2 linked regions of the Danio rerio genome follow. Each later gene encodes a partner of the first gene's protein in a complex. Links are inferred from orthologs where the notes say so. Each region holds a gene or a part of one and is shown on either strand. Other genes may lie near its edges.

Region 1 (3,659 bases):
TGATATACATGTACATTTGAGATCTAAATATATATTATTTAGGGATGCAATGACTATAGATGTTGGTTGTACAATTATAGTCTGAGGAATAATCACGGGTATCACGATTAATATGCGTTCATTGATTTTAAAACTTTTTAGAAAAATCAAATTTGTGATTTGTGAAAAGTGTTATCTATTGCTGCTCAGTAACCAGAGTAATACAGCACATAATAATAATAATAATAATAATAATAATAATACAAAAACAAACAATAGTCCATTTCTCTTTGGACTTAAAAATAAGTGAAAAGTAATAATTTATAATGAAAATAATTGACAGAACAATGAATAAAAAAATTAAAATAAGAATAAATTAAAACACTTGTATTTGTCTAATATAATTCTAAGCAACATATTAGCCAAGTATTTCCCTTTTAAAGAGAACAAATATAGTCAAAAACTGAACTGACAAGAGTTTCAATTTACTATAATCTTCTATGTGAAGCTGCTTTGATACAATCTACATTGTAAAAGCACTAGAAAAATAAAGATGAATTGAATAGTTAAAACATTATTTATTCCTTTGATGCAAATTAAGCATTCAGCCCTCACATAATCTTTCAGAAATTATTGTAATATGCTGAGTTTGGTGCTCAAGAAACACTTCTTGTTATTGGTGAAATTCAAGACAGCTGCGCAACTAAAATATTTGCGTGGAAATCATGAAAGATTTTCCTCATGATTCTTTGATGGACAAATAGCAATTTATGCAAATAATCTTTTTCATCATTATTCCAAGGTGACAGGAAGGACACTTTTATTAAATTTAACATGTCCTTACAACTAAAAAACATACCATCTAACATCTAAAAAACCCCATCTAACTGGCTCCAAATATTTGAATGCTAATGCACTATACTGTGAACTATTTATTTATTTTTTAAAAGACAGATGCGTTTGTCTGTATCGTCCTTACACTGGTCTGCTGGAGGATCGACTTCCATGTTCTCGTCAGCCTGCTGCACTTTGGGACGCCTCTTTATTAAAACACTGCGGTACACCTACAAACACACAAAACATGGTTGATGTGGGTATATCAAAGACTGAGTTGTGCTTCCTTTCAGCTAAAATTACAAGATTTTCGACACTTGTGTGCATTAAAGCATTTCTATGCCATTTAGAAAGACTAAGAGTTGATACTCACATGACTGTTGGCCTGTGGTTGTGTTCGGTAGCATTTCATAATGTCCTGAAAAGTGTGCTCTTCTTTCGTGATCTGCAAAAAAATGTCACAATTTAAATGATTTTTAATGTAAAATTGTAATTTATATACATTTTATTCATAAATTTTTTCATTTATCAAAGTGATGAATGTTTTTAATTAGAAACAATGCATTAATAAAATGTGTTATATAAAATATTGGCATTTAAAAAACACAAGACCAAAATAATAGACAGCAACATGGTTTTTAAAATTAAACCAATAAAGGTTTTCTTGAGCAACAAATAAGCATATTAAAACTATTCCTGAACAATAACATGATGCTGTAATTATGCCAAAAATGCAGTATTTTGTTTATAAATATTCATAACATTCCTTTAGATTTTTACTAATACATCATATTATATCATGTCATGTCTAGGGTTGTAACAATATACCGGTATGACGGTTTACCACGATTTGAACGTGCACGATTATCATACCATGAACAATTGCATATCAACGGTTTTAACCCTTAAAGACCGAGACAGCCGCCCGCGGCTAAAAATAAGCATTGCTCTTAAATGTTTAATAACTTTTGATCCGCTGATAACATTCACGGACTTTCAGAGGCTCCGGAATCAGTGCGGTTACGTCATCAACATTTGACAACGCTGATTTGACAAAGAAACGCTCGTCACTGTGTCTCCGGACAAATCAGACATGATACATTGATGCATTGTCCCTCCTCCATGCCCAGATTGGTTCAAACTCGCTATATCACAACCAATAAGCATAGGTTTCGCTTTTGTTTGTGGACCAAGCTTTTTGAACAACACGGAATGAGAGAAAGGCATACATTTATGCGCGGCTAAATAAAACGCAAAAAAAAAAAGTTTTGCATGAAATAATTCTCATACTAAGTACTTTTGCATGCACAGCAGCACAGAAACATGACAAAACAGTGACACAGCAAAGACAAACTGTTGCTCTTGCTGTTTTCAAAAGACGCAAATGAAGATGCAGCTGTTTGTCTGCATTGCATACAACCACATCCATATCCACGCTGGCACATAAAACCTAAGGATGTTCCATATTGAATCTAGTTTCGTTATGTAACTATTTATAGTATAGTAAATATTTATATCTATTTTTTACTAAGGATTTGCACCATGTTTATTTGGACTTTATTTGGACTTTGACACATTATTTATTATTTTCTTATTTTTATTTGTTCATTGTAAGTGGTGTTGTTTATAGTAACTAAAAATATATTATTTGGAAAAAGTCAAATTTGCTTCACTGTTCTATTATTTTGTAACATTTGTAACATACCGTATACCGTATACCGTGAAACCGTCAAACCGTGGTATTGTTTTAGAAGATTATCATACCGTGAAAAATTCATACCGTTACAACCCTTATTATCATAGCAACAACAATGGTTATTTTCATAGCAAAACCATTGAATTAATAAATAAACAATTAAACAGCAAGACATTACAATAAAACTTTCGACCAATGTTTAAAAATATTAATGTTTTACTGCATTTAAAATCTGTACCCTTGATATGATGTAAACAGCACAAAGCAGCAGCTGGTCCAGGTGTCTGTCCTTCATCAGGTCAGTGCAGTGCAGGAGAGAGTGCTCAAAACACGTCCAGATCTTCCCTCTTAGCTCTGAGGAGATATCCAGCTTCAGACACAGGTCTCGCAGACGCACACTGGCTAAATGATACACCTGAAAGGAGTAGCAACAGAACATATGCACTTGAAATAAGACAATAAGACCCATATTTAAATTAAGGCTCTGCTGGGGAATAAGATTTTTTTTTTGAAAACTGTTTTTCTCTATACTTGCATGATTAAGAATTGCTAATATATTTCTGTATATCAAATATATATTTGTATATAGCAAAAAAAATTTTCCTAACAACATGCACAGATGAATTGTTCACCACAAAACTAGCAATGTGAGCTAACTAACTCAATATGGTTAGTTTTGATTTCATGTGTACTTAAAAAACAAAACAAAAAACATTAAGAATAACAAAAAAAAAAAAAATTAAATAAATAAAAATTAAAAATGTAACTAATAAATAGGGCAGTACTGACACTTTCCTTAAGACCACAATCCTATAAAATTCCTTCATACTGGGGAAAGTGGTCGAGAAGTAATGTTTTAATTTAATTGTGGTGCTTTTATTTATATGTATCCAGAATCCCCCCTCAAGAGATTTTCGATCGTTGATATGTTCCCCATAACAAATCTTTATATGGCAGGACCTGATCAAAAATATTAGCCGTGTATCCATAGTATCATCAGAAAACAAATTCACATTAAAACCACAAAAAAACACAAAACCAACCAAAACAAAACAAACCACAACACAAAACAAAACCACAAAACAAAAAACACAACATAAACCGAACCACAACACACAAACCAAAACACAAAACAAAACAAACAAAAAAA
Region 2 (3,659 bases), on another chromosome or scaffold:
AGACTGTCAAGTTATTGGAATTTCAACTTTTACATGTGGCACCAGTAGCAAGTTGACATGAAAACTGTTTGATTTGACAATAGGCAGAGGGCATTAAAAAAAAAAAAAAAAAAAAAATTATTATTTAAGTTTTTATCACTTAAAAATATATTATATATCACTTAAAAATATACTTATATATATATATATATATATATATATATATATATATATATATATATATATATATATATCAGTATATTTTTAAGTGATATATAATATATTTTTAAGTGATATATAATATACATATTATATATATATATATATTATATATCACTTAAAAATATACTTATATATATATATATATATATATATATATATATATATATATCAGTATATTTTAAGATCCAATGATGTGTTCTGTGTACATGGCCCCTTAGAACGATTAGCAGTCAATTAGAATCGAGCATTCAGCAGACCCCATGAAATAAGATAAATGGTAATGTGAACACAGGACTAAAACAAAATGAAAACCTATTAAAGAACATGCTTCCTGAGATTTAATTAGCTGACATTTAGTCAAGTAGCGCTCAATATTTAGACCTGTTGCATGACGCTCTATTGGGGCCCGGACTGACTCTTATCTTGAGGAGCCTCTAATCACTCAAAGACAGGCCGAACGGTGGTCAAGGTCAGAGGGAGATTGGGATAGAATGTCATGAAGACACGTCAGTGCTATTGAACACACTCGTCTTCAACTAAATTAGTCTCAATTGTCAATTAGTCTATAGTCAACTACATCCTGTCCCCTGAACTGAAGAGTCTTCCAATTACCTACTTAAAACTTCAAGCCTTTTGTAGGGCACTTTTTGAAATACTCAAATTGGAAGAAAAACAAAAACAAAAGTATTGCTGGAAGTTATTATAATGGACCTTTTATGATTAAAAATATATACGCGTTATAATCATTGTCAGGGAAGTTATGCAGGTTAAAGGTTTGCTTCACCCACAAAGTAAAATGTCATGCTCTACTGACCCTCATGTTGACTAGCATGCTGTAATATGACCAAATTTCTGTCCCTCTTTTAAAAGTCCAGACAACTAAAGATCATAATCAAAATGGGCCATAAAGGCAAATTAACAGAAATCCAGTGGTTGAATCCAACACTTATAAAGAGAGTTAATCACTTTAAGATAAACAGATTTAATTTAGGTTTTTATCACTTAAAAACACTTGACCAATTATGTTTAATGTAACAAAACACTTTTTTGATTCAGCATGACATCAAACATGAAAAATAATATACTCTGTCATACATGCAAATAATTATGCTTTGGTGTCATTACCAAGAAATAAACTAATATTCATATTTCCGGACTATTGGTTTACATGTAAAATGGGACAGCAGGTTATTTCTGTATGTTTTTTTTTTTTGTGTGTCTGTCTGTCTGTCTGTCTTCATCATCATCAGTGCTTTGGTCTACATATCTTGACCGATTCCAATTTCTTTTTGGTAAGCGTGCTGTGACCTGCTCATACCAATTTTTGCATAACTATAATATTAAAATCATTTTAAAAAACGTATAGTCCAAAAAATTAACCACATTAACAAAAAAAATACATTTGCTACACTTGACCCTGCCACACAGACTCGATGCAGAAATATGAATTGGTCTTAATGTAACTCTGAGTCTGAATTGTGTATTTAAGTGAAGGTGATTTGATTGCTATATTAAAGTTGGTTACGCCAAGGTTTGTAAGGTGGTTGTGGCTGCAAATCATGAAAATAGTCCCACATTTATACACTGTGGAAAAAAGTTGTGCAGAGATTTGTCATTTGCAGCTGTAAGTGTAAACGCGGGTGTCTCTGACAACACTGCAGTAACACTTTCCAACGCTAACAGAACAGCTTGGCTGAAATCAGGCCAGGTCATGTGAAAAATTGGCCAATTCCGGTTCCTGGCTGGTCGGTCATGCATATTTCGCTGTGTTGTACCAAAACATGGATTAAGTTTGAAGTTGTTGCCATCCATATCCTATTCATTCACTTACTTTCCCTGTCCCTAAGCTGCAAAACATGGGTTTGTCGTTTAGTAATACTTGAGTCACATTGAGCACTCCTATAAAAGTGATGTAGACGTAGAGTGTTCTGAAAAAACAGGGAAGGGTCTCAATGAAATGCGGCCACAAGATGCCAATATTGTTTCTGGCTTGAGAAAATGCATGTTAATACTGGTATGTAACAGCTCCTTCATTTCCTTTTCAAAGATTAATCTTAAAGTCTTTCAAGTTTAGAATGACATGAGCATTTATAAGCGATGACAGGATTGTAGTTTTGCGGTGATCAATCCCTTTAACTGGCCAGAGCAGGTTTGTTAATAGCATTGTCTCTCCGGTTTTCTTCTTTGGTCTCAGCGTGGTGATGACTGGATCATACAACAACTTCTTCCGAATGTTGGACCGCACCCAGCGGCGAGATGTCACCCTGGAGGCTTCGCGCGAGAGCTGCAAGCCCCGGCAGGTCCTCAAGCCGCGCAGGGTTTGCGCAGGAGGCAAGCGGAAGAAGGACGAGATCAGCGTGGACAGCCTGGACTTCAACAAGAAGATCCTACACACCGCCTGGCACCCGCAGGAAAACATCATCGCAGTGGCAACCACCAACAACCTCTACATCTTCCAGGAAAAAGTGAACTAATACTGTCATCACGGGGAAAGAAAACCTCCGAACCTCTCTCGCTCTATGTGAAACCAACAAAAAAAAGTTGAACTAGCAAGAATCATTTCTGTGACAACCACCGTCATCACATAAACCAACCTTGGCCTACTCCAGGACAGGATGAACTAGTTGAGCCAACTAGCGGCTGCCAATACTGAGATAACTGGTTCAAGCTGGTCTGGAGAAGAAGCGCAACCTGGCTTTGGCCTCTGTGGCACCATGACATGCGCCTTGCACTGGTGATGTTGTGCCAACCTGTGTCTGTACCCTCCATCCCTTTTCCCCTTTACCCACAAGTCAGTCCGAGCCCAGGGATGAAATGGGCAGCAAAGCTCTGACAGATTTCAACCAGTTTTTTTTTTCTTTAGTTTTTTTTTTTCTTTCATTTTTTTGGCTTCGGTTTCTTCAAGGTGTCTGTATAAAAACTAATTTGAACTCATATGGATGTGTCCCTGTGTCCTTTAATCCTCGATGTTGTTTGTGCCATTGTAACCGTTTTTAAACTCTTTTCAGAGAAACTGCCAAGTTGTTTAGTTCATTTTAATTCTGTTTCAAGAATAAGTGTCTCTTCTTTTTTCGTTTTTAGATTTATTTCTTTTTAGTTTACTACTCTATACATTTCATACTGTCCCGTTCCACTCCATACAGCTACAAAATGGTTTCAGCCACGTTTCGTTTCAGATATCCATGCACCATGGCTTTGGCCCAAAGAGTTTTTTTTCTTGTTGGTTTTCTTTGTGGCACAGACGGCACTGCCATGTTTGCTGTAGTAGTTGACCTTCTACATATGTTCAAGCACATACACTCCCAGTTGGACTGCTCACTCATGTACAAGTCATTCAGCCTTACAGGGTTTATTTTCCTTTGTGACCCATGCCCGATTTCTGTCAACACTCTTCTCTATCTCAAGAGTTACAGTTTGAGAAAGATTATAGAGATTATGATAACGAAATGGTATTTATA

Evidence for each region. The genes of interacting proteins can lie anywhere in the genome.
Region 2: the proteins of rbl1 (region 1) and ppp2r2ab are in contact, whole or in part, in a cryo-EM structure (PDB 9C6B), measured with the Homo sapiens proteins. The link is inferred for Danio rerio from reciprocal best matches to the Homo sapiens genes RBL1 and PPP2R2A. Residues at the interface, in NP_002886.2 of Homo sapiens: Ser615, Pro616, Leu617, Met618, His619, Pro620, Arg621, Val622, Val625, Arg626, Ser629, Leu632; in NP_002708.1 of Homo sapiens: Lys88, Tyr178, His179, Asp197, Leu198, Met222, Glu223, Glu224, Leu225, Thr226, Glu227, Val228, Ser247, Arg278, Ser279, Phe280, Phe281, Ser282, Glu283, Ile284, Ser287, Tyr337, Phe343.

What each region holds. Positions count from the first base shown.
Region 1 is NC_133181.1:54,202,560-54,206,218, forward strand, and holds part of rbl1 (retinoblastoma-like protein 1), read right to left. Parts: intron 2,925-3,659; coding exon 2,748-2,924; exon of another isoform or gene 2,594-2,747; intron 1,622-2,593; exon of another isoform or gene 1,259-1,621; coding exon 1,187-1,258; intron 1,044-1,186; coding exon 959-1,043; intron 1-958. UniProt on the Homo sapiens protein: Key regulator of entry into cell division. Directly involved in heterochromatin formation by maintaining overall chromatin structure and, in particular, that of constitutive heterochromatin by stabilizing histone methylation.
Region 2 is NC_133185.1:23,776,084-23,779,742, forward strand, and holds part of ppp2r2ab (serine/threonine-protein phosphatase 2A 55 kDa regulatory subunit B alpha isoform), read left to right. Parts: intron 1-2,395; coding exon 2,396-2,675; 3' UTR 2,676-3,659. UniProt on the Homo sapiens protein: Substrate-recognition subunit of protein phosphatase 2A (PP2A) that plays a key role in cell cycle by controlling mitosis entry and exit. Involved in chromosome clustering during late mitosis by mediating dephosphorylation of MKI67.